3 linked regions of the Drosophila melanogaster genome follow. The protein of the gene in region 1 purifies or fractionates together with the protein of each later gene. This does not show direct contact. Each region holds a gene or a part of one and is shown in the gene's direction. Other genes may lie near its edges. The genes, in order: Rab6, Rich and CG8578.

Region 1 (4,028 bases):
TTGTGCAATGTAAGAAATTGTTATTTACAGCCCGAAAATATGTGAAGCATATAAATCTGTTCGTTGGTTGCTCACCGTGTTCCTCTCTCTTTACGAGATAAGATAAACTTTAAAAAACAGCTCGTTGTTTGATATAGTAGCTGTGATGCGAAGGAAAGTCCCACATTTAAGTGACCGCCACTAGGGACACACATTTGATTGCTTTTATTGAAAAAATAGGGAAAAACTCGACTATTTAGGACACCTGCTGGTTAGCCGATATCCACGATATAAACGACGAGACCTGCACGTAAACCGACGGTGAGTTGGCCTGACCACAAGGTAACTTGCCCCAGGACACGATGCCAATAAGGACATTGCCCTGGACCAGTGGTCCGCCCGAATCCGAGGTGCAAATGCTAACGCCGCCAGTTAGAGGACCAGTGCACAGATTGGTCGAGTGGACATCGCTGCCCTTGGTGCCCAGGGCGCTTTCGCAGGAGCTCAGCGAAATGATAGGCACATTGGTGGCCACCTGCAGGGTCGACGGATAGGAGGCGGTATTCGTGGTGCTAGTGCTGCCCCATCCGTACAGATTGGCGGTGCCAGTGGGCACCACTCCCGAGGATGGTAGCGTCACTGGGGCAACGGCGGCGCTCCAAACGAAGGCGGTGGGCGTGTAGATCATTCCGATGTCATAGGGCACAGTTCCGCCGGTGTACAAGTCATTGATCACGAAGTACGTGATGCTCCGCGTCTGCGTAGTGCTTGCAGTTCCGTCCACCGCGATGCTTCCGGCCACCAAGGTGCTGCCCAGCACCTGGTTACTATTGGTCAGGCAGTGGGCAGCGGTGACTAGCCAGTTGGCATTCAGAATGCTGGCGGCACAGTAATGGGTGCCACCGTACTGCATGGACACCGCATAGGGAGCACTATTCACCGCTGCCGGAGATCCACCCACGACACGCCCCTCGGGTGCGCCGATAGCCACTCCGGATATTCGGCATATGCCCAGTAGGAGAAGAAGCCCACTGGCCAACGACTTTGTTTGCTGTCCGTTCGCTAACATAGTTTTCGCGGAACTGTTTACATCGACCTTTATCGCGGCACGTTTAAATTAATTCGCCATTCCAAAATTTTGCCAGCGCCAGCAGATAAGGCTTTCAATTAAGGACCGTGTGTTCTTCAGATAACCACTTATTATAATTTGAGATTAAGCGACGCCCGAACAGTGACTCTTTGACAGAAGTACGTCAAGTTCCACCGATAGGATGGGCAAATACCTACGCTCGTTTATCTAAAAACAAGCAAATCACTTTAGAGAGCTTTATATTTGAAAATCGCGTTATCACCTGTTAGTATTTCTTACACTTAGTATTCACTTTTTAATATGAAATAAAAAGTTAAGCAATTACCTTGTACTTCATCAGTATTTAAACATTTTAAGCAGGTAAATTTTAGTTAAAATTATTTAATAACGGTAACGAATATCAATCGATTTTTTTTTAAATCATAAAACATCGATTTAGTACAAATATGCGTTTATCGATAGCGTGGCAGAGAAATTGCTTTTGATTGCCACTCTGGTCACACAGCAACTGACTCAGAAGTTAAAGAAGAAGAAGCAGAGACCGTAATTTTTCCACGACTCAACCTAGCGATTTACCAAGCCATTCGAGCCGCAATTGAGTCTTTAGCCAGACGGAAAGCATTTAGAGCGTGTGTAATAGAGTGCGGCAACTTGAAAGCGGTGCATCCCGAGAAATCGCAGTGCGAAAGGGCCCCGAAAACCGCTGGCCCAGCCCCATTATAAACAGTGAGGAGGGGTGGAGATTGGTGAGAGCGGAGCGGAGCGAGAAGAGAGTTCAGCAAACCCGTAATTAAGAAAAAGTAGACACGTACGTTGAGGAAGATGTCATCCGGAGATTTTGGCAATCCGCTGCGGAAGTTCAAGCTCGTCTTCCTCGGCGAGCAGAGTGTGGGCAAGACCTCGCTGATTACGCGCTTCATGTACGACAGCTTCGACAACACGTACCAGGCGACGATCGGAATTGATTTCCTATCGAAGACCATGTACCTGGAGGATCGCACTGTGCGCCTGCAGCTGTGGGATACGGCGGGACAGGAGCGATTCCGCTCGCTGATACCCTCGTACATACGCGACTCCACGGTGGCAGTGGTCGTTTACGATATCACCAACACCAACTCGTTCCACCAGACCTCCAAGTGGATCGATGACGTGCGCACGGAGCGGGGTAGCGACGTCATCATCATGCTGGTGGGCAACAAGACGGATCTCTCCGACAAGCGTCAGGTGTCCACCGAGGAGGGTGAGCGCAAGGCGAAGGAGCTTAACGTGATGTTCATCGAGACAAGCGCCAAGGCCGGCTACAATGTGAAGCAATTGTTCCGACGGGTGGCCGCGGCACTGCCCGGCATGGATTCCACGGAGAACAAGCCCTCCGAGGACATGCAGGAGGTTGTGCTAAAGGACTCACCCAACGAGACAAAGGATCCCGAGGGCGGCTGCGCCTGCTAGAACCGGTTGAGCCGACGATCCAACCATCCTCTCCCCCTTTTTCAACAGCAGGAGCAGATGCAGATGCAGGAGATCGGCCAGCAGCACTGGTGTACACAGGTGTCAGGTGTATGTACTGGCCGGATCTGCGGCGGATTCCTCAACATCTATACACACATACACACTTTACGTTTAAGTTTATTTATAAAGTAACAAATGATAGCAAAGGCAAATAGACTAAACAACAATTAACGAAATCGGCTAACTAATTACTGTTAATTGACGAGCTAATCCCGAGCGCAGGCGAGTGCGAATGCTAACTCATTGACACGAGATCAGGGATCAAGATCAGAGTAATATTTGCGAGTTAGCTACCAGACAAGAATATAGTGTAGTGCATTTCCGATACCCCCTAAACCCTCTAAACGAAAAAAAACCCAAGACCATGTACTTATGTCAGGCCAGGCGGTCCCAGGATCCTCCGACATTCCAGCTCTCGGCATCTCCAGCAGTCGTAGATACCACGCAGCCAGTCTGTGTTCAATGATTCCACCAGCCAGGCATTTTGTTTCCAATTTTAGCCCCCGTTCTGTTCTGTTTGCGGCTTTTGTTTCGCCAGTTTTGGTTAGGATTTCGGTTTTTTTTTTAGCACAGCGAACGCGACTGCTAACTGGAACTGTGGATGGCATAGGACTTGGCCACGTGCATCTTATGAATAAATATACACAAATATAAAATATGTATTTTTATGACTAAAACTGAAACAGATAAGCAGAGCACGAGCAGAGCAAACACTTAACAATATTATTAACGATTTTTGCTTCGATTAGCGAGAGAACTTTGTGCATTTTTTACGCGAAAAGCAAAAGCTTACAAAATTGATAATTGAATAAAAACATAAACTATTGATGCAATTTTTAATAAATCAAATTATGAAAATGAAAAGTATACAAGATACTAGCAATAAATTAATACAAAAAAATAAATTCAAAACATGACTCATACGTTGTGGGTGCACGCACACCTTTCCCAAAAAGTTTTCCGCCAAATGTGGGCCGACTTATCTTATCATTCCAAATCGTTCCTGAATGGACTACAGCGCACCTCTGTGTCGGCATGACTAGTCCTCAATTGCTGACAAATTCCACTGATTCGTCAAGAAACTGGAGTGAAATAGGCGGCTTAAGGTGGATCAGAAAAATACGATTTTTAGTTGGGGAAGCTTAATAATCGTATATTGAATCGAATTGCTTTTATTTGATTGCATGCTCTTCTCTTCTATTTGAAACACCTTAAAATGTGTTTGGATTTGGTTTTTTATTTGTGAATTCCGGTTTCGTAAGCGTAAATACATAGAAAGAACAAAAATGCGTACTTGCTTTGCTATGCAAATGTTAAGTATACTTTTGATAAATAGTTCGAAATAGAGTCTTAGAAGCTGTCCTCGTTGGCGATGAATTCGTCGCGAATCTTTTGCAGCTTTGTGATGAGTTCCGCCACGGAGACCTCGCCGTGCACCTTGTTGTCCCGA
Region 2 (7,714 bases), on another chromosome or scaffold:
TCACCTCAAATGCATGCAACGTGGCCGAGCAGACGACCATCTGCAGACGGCGACCATCCGATGTGATCTTCGGAATTTGTTTGTGTAGACGGTCAATCAGCTCGGTGTAACCCTGCTTCAGAAGTGCGTCAGCCTCATCCAGAACAAAAAAGCGGCAATGGGTGAGCAGGACCAGTCCACTGTTGATCATCTCCTCCAGCCGCCCGGGCGTGCCCACCACTATGTGAGTGCCCTGCATCAGCTGCGCCTTTTGCTCTTCCAACCTCACTCCACCGATAAGCAGCAGGGAGCGAACCTCTGGGTTGCTCAGGTGGTATTTAAACTTCTCGATCTGGTTGTAGGTTTGCTCGGCCAATTCTCTGCTGGGCTCCATGATAATGGCCTGAGGGGCGTTAGGCGCCGGTTTGGCGGACGGTGCTCCAGCTGCGGGACCGGTTATCGGATTGGCCTTGCTATGCTCGGGTCCAGCCTGGCAAGCGCCAACGAACCCGTTACCCGGGGCATACTTGAAGTCAGTCTTTCCAAAGTTAAACTGCATTTCGGCGTTCTTCAGCACCACCGCCGGGTAAAAGGTCTCCTTGGCAAGGTTGTCCGGCAGGCGGAAGGCTACGCCCAGGTTCTGGCCATTCTTGGTGAAGCTCACTTCCTGGTTTTTCAAATCGAGCAGGCAGCCGATGACATCTGCCTTGCCGAATGCCTCACCGTAGTCATCAAACTGGCGGTTGTTGGACTTCTTGCCGGTGCCGCCGAATCCAAAGCCCATGCGACAGGTGCCCAAATCGAGGTTTGCCTGCTGTGTAGACCAGCCCACACGACACAGTCCCTCGTCCGTTACCGTGGCCTCAAAGTAGAACTTGCCCTTTCCGCGAACGCCAGTGGTGGCCCGACACCCGTGCCACTCCTTGAACTCCCGCGACTGGCAACGCAGACCATCAGGAGTGACGGCAAGCGCGTTTCCTCGGTCGAAGAAGGACATGGTCCACGGAGTCACAGCTCCTCCAATTGCACCGCCCTTGCCAGCCTTCCCCTCCTCCAGATCACGCAAGGTCTCCCACACGATTTGCAGAATGGGGAGGCAGAAGGCACCCGTTTTTCCGGAACCAGTTTCGGCGGCCATCAGTACATCGCCGCCACCCAGGATCAGAGGAATGGCCTCAGCCTGGACATCGGTGGGCAGGCTGAAAATTCATAAATGTGAAGGCAATAGGCAGACAGAACTGTTTTTTCTTACGTCCAGTCCAATTCGTCTGTGGCCATTCCCAGCTCCGGAAGCACGCCAAACTCTGCGAGGCAAGTCAAATAAGCAATGCACACCTTAAATATTAATTTTCACTTACCTTCGAATGCAGTCATTTTGAGAATACTTCACAAATCTCCTTTTTGTTCTGCCTCTCGAAAGCCGGTTGATTTATTTAGTTCGAGATGCGTTGAATTAGTTCGAATTGACAGTGGTTGTTGGTGAACTAGATCGCGGACTCGAAATTCGGGAACTTTTTAGTGTTGTAAGCTTGCGCAGGTCAATGAATTGAAGTATTTAATAACTTTATTTTGAATGAAGGGTTTGAACATAAAAAATATCTTCGGGAATTCCTTTTTAACAACACTCATTAGTTGTTGGTAACTTTACTTGACTATACTGGAATAGGATAAATGCCAATGTTACTTGACTTTATGAGATAAAACTATGAAGGGTAGAACATTTAGTTCGTGATCTAATCATAATGTATTTATTTAATTATTGTTTAAAAGATGAATTTAAAACGATAAGAAGGCTCGTATAGCCGAAAATAGAAGTAACCCAAAATGCATTCACTTGTCGATTTTTTAAGAAACAGCTGATGGGTGCAGAAAAGCTAGCCTGACATCACTGTTGCCTTCTTAAAATCAGTGGTGCGAAACGGCGATTGGCAAACAGCTGTGATTTTGGAACGCTGGCCAACACTCATATTTGTATACGCGTAAAATCGCTCAGATTTTTTGTTGTGCTGTGGAATGTTGTCTAAAAGTGCTAATTGATCGGGGCAGATCATGTAAAACTGGGCGTAACCCACATAAGCTAAATGCACCCGCACCAGACCGCAGGTTGAATTCGTTTTTCCGCACTCCCGCTCTTGCTAATGAACTTTTCCGTTTGCGCAGTAACTTTTCACACGGAGGATGTACTATCCAGTGGGCTGGCCCAAGCGGGTGGGCCTGGCGCTGCCCGGCGAGAGCGCCAGCATCCGGCACATCTGCTGCGACGCGGTGAAAATACTTGTGGCCGCCGTGGGCGACGACTTTCTGGGCATCTGGTACGCGAATCCACTCATTCCCATTGCTTATTTCCGGCGGACGGAGGACTCCCTTCGCCAGTACGGGGCCAACCAGCTGATCGTGTGGAAGCCGGACTCTCGGCAGCTTGCCCTGCTTACCGCGTCCGGCTCCCTGTTGTTGTACCAACTGGACTTCGAAGCCAACGGCATGGGAATCCTGCAGCAGATAGATCCGCCCGCCGCGAGCCTCAAACGCGACTCCGCCGAGCTGTTTATCAAGGAAAACATACCCCGGCTGAGCCTTCGCGAACTGTGTAGCGTCACCTTGGGCTCCGTCATCACCACTGTGTGCTGCATTAGCCTCAGCGAATTACTCTTGGCCACCCAGTCCTGCGAACTGCTGCGTCTGCAGTGGACCGAACTGGAGCACGCAGAGAACGACCTAGAGTTGCCAGCCCTATCTTCAATTAAGCTGCGCGACATTCCCTTCTACGTCCAGCAGCAGCCTCAGCAGTCCGCGCGCAATGTGCCGCCCTTGAACAGGGACTCGTACGTAGCTTCTCTGGAATACTCGCCGTTCATCGGTGGCTGTGCAGCCGTCTTCAGTGACCGACGAGCCGCCTTCCTGATTGCCAACCATCTAAGATTTGAGACCGATCACATGCACGGCTTCTGGGTGCCGGATGTTGAGGATGCGAGTGTCTGCAGTGTCAATCACAAATTTCGACTGTTGGCATATGGTCAAGAGAGCTCGGCGGTGAAGGTGTACGCAATTGATGATGCCACCGGGGGACTAGAGTTTTCTCATCGACTTATCCTCACGGAAAACATACTCCCAGACAGCCTGGGTTCAGTAAACGAGCTAAAGTGGAGCCCTGACGGCTGCGTCCTTGCTGTGAGTTGGACAAATGGAGGCTTGTCCCTATGGAGCACATTCGGAGCATTGTTAATGTCTACTCTGAGCTGGGATTTCGGCCTTAACGTAGATTTGGTTTGTCAAAATCCACTCAAGATCCGTCGGCTCGAATGGTCAACCGAGGGTTATCAGCTTTTTATGCTAAAACTGCATCCGGAAAAAGACAAAAGTAATGTGCTTCAGCTGCAGTTTGTGAAGAGCGCTCTGAGTATGAATCCCTGCATGACGACTAGTCCGCACATCCTGCTGCAGGGTGACGACTGCCTGTACCTTAACCAGGGCAATAATCTGGAGCTAACGTATGCCGGAAGCCATGGAACGTTTCCATCAAGCGGCCTGGGCTCTGACGAAGACATTTCCGGTGATGGCGACTGTCTGGAGTTAAAACAAAGCCCGCACACAGGCAGCATTCTTACGGAGAGTAAGTATTGGACAGTGTTGCAGCTGCCGCTCAACTACGCGGCCACAAACTGGCCAATCCGATATGCTGCTATCGATCCCGATGGACTCCACTTGGCGGTGGCTGGTCGCACTGGACTGGCGCACTACTCCCTAGTGACCCGGCGCTGGAAGCTTTTTGGCAATGAGTCGCAGGAGAAGGACTTCGTTGTCTCTGGCGGCCTACTGTGGTGGCATGGCTTTGTAGTCATGGGCTGCTATTCGCTTCTAGACCGCACGGATGAGTTGCGTTGCTATCCGGCAGATTGCAAACTCGACAACCAATACGGGCACAAGCTGCAGGTCCGAGCACCAGTTATTAGCCTGAACTCATTCCGACACCAGTTGATTGTACTCACTGCCGATGGAATAGTGAGCCTGTTCAATATGTCGAAAAACTCAGCGTACGCCCTGGATATTGAATGCGCCTATGAATTGGACGTGAAGAGCATTTGCATCCATCCTGCCTGCATTGTTAGTCTGACTGTGACTAACCTCAAGAATGAGCTAAAGCCCCAGGGACAGCTGGGTGGAGATCAGGCAGAGACTATCATCGTGAATGTATGCGGCCGCATATTGATGATACAGCGCGATGCCGGCGAACAGGTATGTTTGAAAAATATTAATTGTCGAAATGCTTAAAGTTGGAGAGATGCAAATCATTTATACATTTCATATGTGAATTTACCGTTATCTCAAAGTAAAGCGAACGTCAGCATGTCTTCTATTTGGAAATGTCTTTGGTTATCGAGCCAACCATAACAAGGAATTTGAGTATGCATCTTTTCAACTTCGCGGACAATTATTACGATATATCATATAGCAACTAAAGTCAAAATCTATGTTTACCAAATAGGTCCCAAACACCTTGCTGGCCACCTGCCTGGCTAGCTGCGTTGAGGTCTTCTGGCTGTCACACTCCCTGGAACGCTGTGCGATGCGTGACTGCCTTTGGCTTTACTCCGGTGCCCACGGAATGCGCGTATGGCTTCCAATACTGCCGCCGGGAAGGGAGCGTCGCGAAGGCGAGCAGGGCGGCGCCCAACGTCTGCACAGTTTTATGTCAAAGCGAATCATGCTGAGCTTTCCGCTGAAACTTTATCCGCTCGTCGTGCTCTTTGACAATGTGATCGTTCTGGGGGTGGAGAACGAAAGCACGCTTTACGCCAATGAGCAGGTCTCCCACTTCTCTCTGCCGTTCGCCGTTATGGAACGCAAGTCGCAGATCTATCTGCACAAGGTACTTCGCCAACTGATCAAGCGGAATTTGGGCTACTCTGCCTGGGAAATGGCACAGTCGTGTTGCTCGCTACCATATTTTCCGCACGCTCTGGAACTGCTTCTACACGAGGTTCTCGAGGAAGAGGCTACTAGCAAACAGCCCATCCCGGATGCACAGCTGCCCAGTATTCTGGACTTTATAAGAGAGTTTCCCGTCTACTTGGAAACAATTGTTCAATGTGCCCGCAAAACAGAGATCGCCCTGTGGCCGTACCTATTTTCGATGGCTGGTAAACCGAAGGATTTATTCCAGATGTGTCTGCAGTCGGAGCAGCTGGACACGGCTGCGAGCTACTTGATAATCCTGCAGAATCTAGAACCCTCTGTTGTTAGCAAGCAATATGCCACCATGCTGCTGGACATTGCTCTACAGCAGCGAAAGTGGGAGCTGGCTAAGGACTTGATCCGGTTTTTAAAGGCTATAGATCCAAATGAGATCGACTCACCGCGGTCGTCGATGGTGGTGAATGTGAAAATTGCTCCTCCTCCCCAGGTGAATACACAGCAGCAAGTGAACCAGAATGCGGATGCCTTTAACATGGTTCTGGGTCCCATTGCCAGAGAGAGAAGCTTCTCCACCACGGTGACTAGCAATCTGCCCAAAGATAAGCAGGCATCTGGGACTCCTGGGGTTGCACCTGTGACCGAAAGCAGCAGTGCAGGAGCACCCTCGGTGGTGCGCCGGCGGTCGACTAAGCAGCGAGAGACGTTCTGCATCGATCTGATACTGCAGCGCCATGCTCGACAACTACTTCAGAACCACAAACTAATGGATTTAGGCTACATGTGTGCTTATCTGGACTTTCACCTTGTCAGCTGGCTTTCGCAGGAATCAGAGCGGGCAGCCAAGTTGGATGATTTCGCCGGCGCTCTGCAGGCGCTACACGAAGAACTAGATCTCCCCATTCCATTTCCGACTGCGGCAAAGGACGACTTTGCTCAGATACGCGGCAGTCTTCGACAGACAGGAGGCGGTGGATCTTCGCAAACGTCAGAGTCTGGCTATTTTAGCTTGGCCACGCCCAATGGAGCCGCAACACAGTCGCCACAGCTGCAGCCAAGCATTAGGGAAGAGGAGGAAGAACTGCAGCAGCCTAGCTCCCTACCAATACTTAAGACGCGGTCTGGATCGCAACTGTCGTTCGATAACTTTCGCTACCGCCGGCTGTACTCGCTACCGACATCAGAGGACGACCTAGCCGTGGATATTCTGCCTCAGAAGCTGTCCATTAAGCTGCGTTACTTGTTACAGCTGTTTATCGAGGCGAACTGCACGGACTACGCGCTGGTTCTTTCCATTTTGCTCCAGGACGCGGCTTCCATCTCGCGGATTGTAAACGGAATAATCCGAAGCGAATCGGTTCACACCTGTCGACGTACGGAATCTGCACTCAAACAGTTAAGTCAGAGCACCTTTGAACACAGCGGATCTTTGTACCGGGGGTTCGTCCTCACCTTGCAACCGCATGTTTACCTGCTAGAACAGTACATACAGTCTCTGGGGGATGCTCCCTGTTCGCAGCTCCAAGATGCCGGCCCGGGTACCGAGCAGGGCGTGGACGTCAGCACGGGACTCCAGGGACTGCAGAACGAAGTGGGCGAATTTGTTCCAAATTCCCAGCAGGCTAACGGAAACCAATGGACTGTGGCGGACCTTAACCCGAATCACCAGCGGCTCACGCGGCACGCCAGTCTAGAGTCTAACGGGAACGCAGTGGTGGCCAGCGGTTCCTCTGCCCATTCAACGCCCACCCAGCGCCAACTGTCACGGCAGAACAGCCGCGAGCGGGAGGGCTGTCGCCTCATGTAAGCCGTTAGCCGTAATCCGTAATGCGAGAGGCGTAATCCGTACTCCACATACTCAGCGCAAAGACGCAGATACGTACTTTTTTTGTAGGTCCGTGGGGTGAAGCGTTTTGTTGCTGTAGCTCGTTGTTAAAATTTTTTGTTAATTGTAAGCCGGCGTACACACTCACACAGGGTTAGAGAAACAACCGGATGGAAACTCACACGCAGACAACGAAGCGTCGCCGGCTAAACAAAACAAACCGTAAAACCGTATGAAGCATACGCAACGTAATCCATAATTTAGTAGATGAAATTTGCTGCAATATTTGTTAATTAAAATTATACAAACAATATACTTAAATATACAAATCAAATACAATTATATTTTTACTAATAAATGAAACCATTTAACAATTACCACCCTTGTATTCTTAAGCAGCTCGTTCAGGTGTCAATTCGAACTGATTAATTTTACTGCGATGAACCTGAAAACCACTACGAATAAAATAAAAAATAGAAGGAAATTGTTTTTATTCGAAAGAGAACAAGAAGTGAAAATCAATTGCCAAATTCTTTCGTACGGCTTTGTGATAGGCCAACATTAATTCATTCAATATCTACATTGGCATCTGTCAGCTGGTGCAGGAAACCGGAAATAGTTCGTATTTTCAAGTTTCCTTGATTTTCTAGGGATCAAAGGCCATGCCATTCACCCTCTGCGACTATTGTGACCTGGCGGCAGGTTGACTCTGCGACAACGTCGGTTGTAATTTGTTCGCCCGCTGCTGCTGTAAAAGTTAATCGCTGTGACTGATTCATTACGTGCCCTGCTTGATTTGGTAATGCAGGTGGTAGTTAGGATGGTGCCAACGCCGAAGTGCTGTCCCTCCCAGTCGAGTTTGTGTCCGTGTTGTGCTGCGCTTTTGAAGTTTTCCTCCAAGTTACCGGATTGCCAATTCACAACGCTCGAAACTCACATGCACACTTCTACTAGATACACTCAGGAAAATAATAATAAATAATTCTGAAGAGGGCCCTA
Region 3 (5,961 bases), on another chromosome or scaffold:
TGAGTGGATTTAGGATAGCAGATCGTTCGGCAGCTTTGAATATGGTATTAAAATGCGTGCTTTGGCCGGAGTCGACCACATAGATGATCCAATCGCAAAGCTCCTCCTCCAAGCGATGGCGAATGGCTGCCATGTCAGAGGTATCATAGGTAAAGCCGCCATCCGATTTCACGATTGTCAGAGGTATGCCAGTTTTCGTATCGTCTGGCCACATGATCTCGCGTCCTTCATCCACTTCCAGCAGACCCTTGCCTCGCAAGTATTCCACAACGGACAGCATACGTGATTGGTAGAACGATTCCCCCCGTTCCTTGACGCTAATATCTAATCGTTCGTAGATCGTTTGGAACTCCTTTCGCGACACATTGCAAATTAGCTCCCACGCCTTAATGGAGTTCGGCACACCTTTCTGCAATGAAACCACTCGACTGTAGGCACGTTTTTTGAACTCCTCATCTTCATCGAATCTGCAAGGAAGTATTATTTACCTCGAGCACATCGTAATTACTTCGTAATGTTACAAGTCTTACCGCTTCTTGGATTCCTTGTAGAACAATTGCAGATCACTGATCGGAGGGCTTTCATTTAGGTAGTTGGGGAAACGATCTTCCAAATGGGCAATCAGCATGCCAAACTGTGTTCCCCAGTCACCCAGGTGGTTGATGCGGATCACATCGTGCTGCAGGAACTCCAGCAAGCGGCATAACGACTCGCCAATGATCGTGGACCGCAAGTGACCGACATGCATCTGTTTGGCAATGTTGGGCGATGAAAAGTCGACCAGGACTCGCTTTTTGATCACTTCTGGCGGCTTGACACCGTTACGCAATAGATTGCTTAAGGCTAAAGATGCATAATCTCTGCAAAAATTAACATTTTTAATGTTTATAATGGACTTTGTGTACTTATGCCACTCACTTGCTAAGGAACACGTTTACGAAGCCAGCTCCGGCAATTTCCAGCTTTTCAATGATTGGTGATGCTGGGCAGTGTCCTTTCAACTCGGTTGCAATATCACGTGGTGCTTTATTAATGCCCTTCTCTTTCAGCTTCTTGGACAATCCCATGGCATTGTTGCACTGATAGTCGCCGAATTTCGCAGACGTACTATTAACTGGTGCAATTATAACAGGCGTATCTCTGAATTCCGGGAAAGCTGATGCAATCGCCTGGCGAAAGACGCTTTCCAGGTGTTCGGTGATCGAAGAGGATTCCTTGGGCTTCGAAACGTCGCCGCCGGCGGCAGTTGATTCCTCAGCAATGGACTAACAGGGAAATAAAAGACATGAAATTCTTAAGCTTAAACACATTGGGGGTCATAAACTCACCTTCTTTAGGATAAACAGGCGGTTCTTCAGCTTCTTATTTTCAATTTGAAGCTGAACAAGATCGACGTCCAACTGTTCACCGCTTTTGGCAGTTTGTATTCTGGCGGCAAGGCCTTGGGTCTTCAGTTCCTTTAAAGCCGGCATGTCATGTCAAAATGTTGGCGTAAAGTAACAGCTATTCGCTTACCAGCTCCCTGAGTTTTTTCAGCTCCATATTTAGCTCGGACATGTTTCCAAATTGTGACTTCTGTTGCTCCGCTGATTAATAACAACAACACAACGATGCCACATGGATGGCAAGTAGTGTGCACACGTCGCCTATCGATAACGATAACAGCTGGTGATGTCACGCCTCACAGTCACTTCTAGGATGTCGTTTTTCCCACTGGCATTTAAAAGATTTTCTCATTTGACAGTTAAACTATGCAACAGACAAATTGTATTGTGTGTGCATTTTAAAATCACCTCTAAAATTGTAGATGTCGGTATGTATGGCAGGCTTTTTATGGCACATTTGAGAGCATTGCTTAGATAAATGTCAGCTGTGTGCGGTGGAAAAATCGCATCGGGTTCACATAGCACTTATGATTTTTATCGATAGATCGACTTATCGACCACCTCTATTATGATTAATTGTGATTGTTCTTTCGCTTAAGGTGTCTCTTAAAACTTTTTATGTGTATGTGTGTTTAATTAATTTATAGATTTTGTCACCTTTGTGTAAATACCTATAGTCTAGTGGGGCCGCAACCTAAACTCTTTGATGTGTGCTACACACAGTCCCCGAAAGATACGTGCGTGAAAACTTGGGAAAACAGATGTGTGTAACGCCGCTCCCATTAAAATTAAAACTGCAATGCAGACGGTTTTTTTTTGTTTTACAAATATAAATAGTGGATAAAAACATATTCACCGGGAACGACGGACGGATACATCCTATTTATAAACAGGAGATAAACTAGTTTTCTTGCATCTGTGCCACCAAATTGCCAAGTGTCGATGGGGAATTTGTAAAAGTTAAAAAAGAAAAAACCATTATGCAGCGCAATGCAAAAAAAAAGTTTACTTTATTTTCATCATCTGATACGCATTTTATCTGCATGTTCGCTTGCTTGGTGACAATGGGACTATATATTCACCGGTTTTTATATAAGTGAGTCAGCTCTGCTAGATAACAAAGTGCGTTCCGATGATAAGGTATCCATTATCATACCACACACGATCATCAATTAGGACATTCCAAAATGTTTACCAATATAGGAGGTTTCAACGAGCTGGACACCGAAAGAGCAGCACCAGAAATGCTGTCTCTGCAATTATTATATTTATTTATAAGTTAGTGGCTGAATTCAATGGACTTTTCTTTGGAATTATCGCAATATGATCCTTGTTATCACTTTCAATGGGTTCAAATCGAAACTGAATTCTTAGTGCATTCTTATAGACTTGAAACTAACAAGTTGCTTCTTTTTAGCGTGCGATCGCTTGCGATTAATATATAAAATATAGTTAAATTGAGCACAGATTCAATGGAAAGTATCAGCACCACAGGTCGGCGACGGAACAACATGCGAATCAATGCCGAAGACAATGCGCTGGATCAAATTACGAAAGAGGTGTGTATTTTACATCCCAAAACATAGCATTCAATGTAAATATTAAAATTGTTACTATCAACTGCGATTTGTACGTGCTCGGTTAACACAAGAGAATTACAGCCGCAAAGGGTCGCATAATTGAAACTCTATCAATTAGTTGATTTAAATGAAACTGATTCCCTTCTTTTCAGGCGGAAGCGCGACTTGCTGCGCGTCGACAGGCGCGCGCCGAAGCCCGCGAGATTCGCATGAGGGAGCTGGAGCGGCAGCAGAAAGAGCAGGAGATCACCGCCGACCGGGTCTTCGACATGCAAAACTCCACGGCAGTGGGCAGCGAAACTCTGTCGGCGCATCCCGTGCGCCTCGCCTACGGCGGACTGTTAAACGTGACCCGTGCATCAGCATCCCGCCGCAGCAGTGAGGACTCCGTGGAGGAGGAGGGCAGAAGTTTTCGCGACTTCAAGCACGAGCTTAAGGTGGGTGCTGACATCGCAGCCATCACTTCGATGTGATTTAAGTGGTTCTGCTTTCAGGATGTTGAGGAGCGGTTTCGCAAAGCCATGATAACGAACGCCCAGTTGGACAACGATCGCGCCTCGCAGGCCTACGAAGTCAAGCTACTGAAGGACAAATGCGAAATAATGGAAGAGTCGTATGCACAACTACAGCGCGAGTTCAAGGAGAAGATGCGTGACTGCAATGCCCTCAAACGCAACCTGGATCGCGCCAATCTCGAGCTTAAGCTAGTACAAGGGCAGTTAAACGAGCGCGACTCGTTGATCGCCGAACAGGGCCTTCTAATTGTAGCAGTTGAAAATGCCGATGGCAGCGATGCCAAGCGAGCTCTAGTGAGTGTCGAGAATGCCAAGGTGCTGGCCTCCGTGCAGGGTTCTTTAGGTGATTATCCCCCATTTGCACCTGGATGAGATCATTTAACAACAGTTCGAGTTCTTTGCAGACGTTAGACTTAAAAAGTTCAGTGACGAGAAGCAGCGGCTGCTGGCGGAGGTGCAGAAGCTTCACGAACAACTTGACGAGTATAAAAGTGATGGAATTTCCGGACGCCGCAGTCTTTCGCAAGGTTCCTTCGGCGATGAGAATGATTACGAGGCCCAACGTACGTGTACCATACTTACTTAATGCCAACTAAACTTTCAGCATGTAAAGTGCACCGCAGTGATTATCTTTTTTATAACTAGCAGCCCTTTTTGGCAGCACACAATAACTAACCGAGTCTTGCTCAAATTTGAACGATATTCAAATCGTATTATTTGTAGTTTTTATTATTTGATAACATGGCTTCAAGCAATATATATATATATATATATCATTTATATTTCCGATCGCATTGATCGGCCACATTCTCTCGCACTTTTGTGTATCTCCATATATCTTCAGTTTTTTAAAACAATAAATTGTATATAACTATTGCAGTTTGGCACTATAGGACTGCAACATATTTGTACTATATTACGAGCCCTTCCTTTTTCTTATACTATCCGACAGGGGAAACAAACAAAATCATTTCAGACCATAAATATAAGCTGCAAAAGGCGGAACAGGAAATCGCCAACCTACAGTCGAGCCTAGCGCGCTCCGAAACTCAAGTAATCCGATACAAAAGCACCGCAGAAGCTGCCGAAAAGGCGGAGGCTGAGCTGAAGCTGGAGCGCCGCAAGCTGCAACGCGAGGTGAGTGGTGGGAATGCCAAGCGAAATGAGCAGTTTATGATCTAGCTAATCCATTTCGCAGCACCGGGAACTCTTGGAGAAGTTGGAGGAAGCTGAAACGTCCAACAACCATTTGTTGAAACGCCTCGATAAGTTGAAAAACGCAAAGAGTGCCATTCTAAAGGACTTATGATCTAAGATGGGAAATGCAATCTCGCCAACCATTGAAGGATCGCACCCGATGACATAGGAAACGCAAGTACACGACATCATCAACACACAAATCAACATGCTGCAATTGAAATAGCACTTCGGTAGCAATTTAATCGGTCTTAGTGGTAGCAAATCGATAATTTTTGAAGGATAATCCAAAATACTCTACCTTAAAAATATATATATATATATATTTAAATTAAAATATAAACTAACTGGATAATAATTAACATAAATAATGTCTATATGTGTATATTTAAAGCGCAAAATATAAGTAACAATTCAATTGGTTCAGCATTATGTGTATAAAATCATTCTATACAAATATGCGTTGACAAAATTATAGCAAGAAACCTATCACTGATCCCAATTAAAAGGCTTCTGGTGAACCTGACCAATAGTTCTTTTCAAAATTACAATATTCTATTGAGTCTATATTTAAATCTTTGCTAGAAGTCCGTTTCATCGGTCGCGATCTCTAAACGGAACGCCCAAATAAATGCCACATTTAAGAACAATTAAAATCATCGTGTTTAAATAAATTACATTTATTTAATTTTATTTATTTTTCATGATTTTACAACATTGCAGCTTCGGCGGATCTTAGTTGTTGCGAATCATTCTCGAGTGGCCACTGAAAAGCATCTAGGATTCCGATTGGGTTTGACGCTCTGCGGACAGAAAAATGGCAATAATCAGCATTTGCTTTGGATAATAGTTTTTCATCACAAAGAAATAGTTAATAGTTGGTCGCTTGTAAACTTTTGGGGCGGGCAATTTTGGGATATATATATGTATATTAATATAAACATTATATTATATGTAAACACATCGCATTTGCATGCAGATCAGCTTGTAAGCGTAGTTAGAAACTTTGGGAACAAAGTTAGATACATAAACTGTCGTTGAGTTTAATGCGAACGCTGGGATAATTTGGGTTTTGTCTGCCGCGGCAGGCACTTACGCCAGTTTTTAAATTATTAATTTGACGATGGAACACCTAAGCCCTTTCATCTGAAAAATATATTCAAATATGACGCAATATGAAACATAAATTCTATTACTTTATGGAGCGTTTGTCTTGAAGGAATGGTAAGCAATTTTGCCTAATTTTGTTTCGATATTCCAATAAGTTACGAAAATTTTGAAATT

The links.
Region 2: the proteins of Rab6 (region 1) and Rich purify together in Drosophila melanogaster (affinity purification with western blotting, with the first as the bait; one study listed by BioGRID). This does not show direct contact.
Region 3: the proteins of Rab6 (region 1) and CG8578 purify together in Drosophila melanogaster (affinity purification with western blotting; one study listed by BioGRID). This does not show direct contact.

The regions. Positions count from the first base shown.
Region 1 is NT_033779.5:12,106,663-12,110,690, reverse strand, and holds Rab6 (Rab6), read left to right. Parts: upstream 1-1,574; 5' UTR 1,575-1,891; coding exon 1,892-2,518; 3' UTR 2,519-3,470; downstream 3,471-4,028. Other genes in the region: Phae1 (phaedra 1), read right to left, coding at 236-1,048; ThrRS (Threonyl-tRNA synthetase), read right to left, coding at 3,929-4,028. UniProt on the Drosophila melanogaster protein: Protein transport. Regulator of membrane traffic from the Golgi apparatus towards the endoplasmic reticulum (ER). Mediates membrane trafficking during egg chamber growth and organization, possibly upstream of exocyst component Sec5.
Region 2 is NT_037436.4:22,257,122-22,264,835, reverse strand, and holds Rich (RIC1 homolog), read left to right. Parts: upstream 1-1,914; 5' UTR 1,915-2,082; intron 2,083-2,139; 5' UTR 2,140-2,157; coding exon 2,158-4,212; intron 4,213-4,462; coding exon 4,463-6,697; 3' UTR 6,698-7,087; downstream 7,088-7,714. Other genes in the region: Ddx1 (Dead-box-1), read right to left, coding at 1-1,178, 1,232-1,283, 1,338-1,353.
Region 3 is NC_004354.4:15,842,525-15,848,485, forward strand, and holds CG8578 (uncharacterized protein), read left to right. Parts: upstream 1-1,951; 5' UTR 1,952-2,007; intron 2,008-2,112; exon of another isoform or gene 2,113-2,148; intron 2,149-2,802; 5' UTR 2,803-2,857; coding exon 2,858-2,944; intron 2,945-3,117; coding exon 3,118-3,402; intron 3,403-3,459; coding exon 3,460-3,823; intron 3,824-3,884; coding exon 3,885-4,043; intron 4,044-4,432; coding exon 4,433-4,617; intron 4,618-4,678; coding exon 4,679-4,789; 3' UTR 4,790-5,334; downstream 5,335-5,961. Other genes in the region: ArgRS (Arginyl-tRNA synthetase), read right to left, coding at 1-467, 531-860, 919-1,265, 1,329-1,457, 1,516-1,557; sun (stunted), read right to left, coding at 5,455-5,480.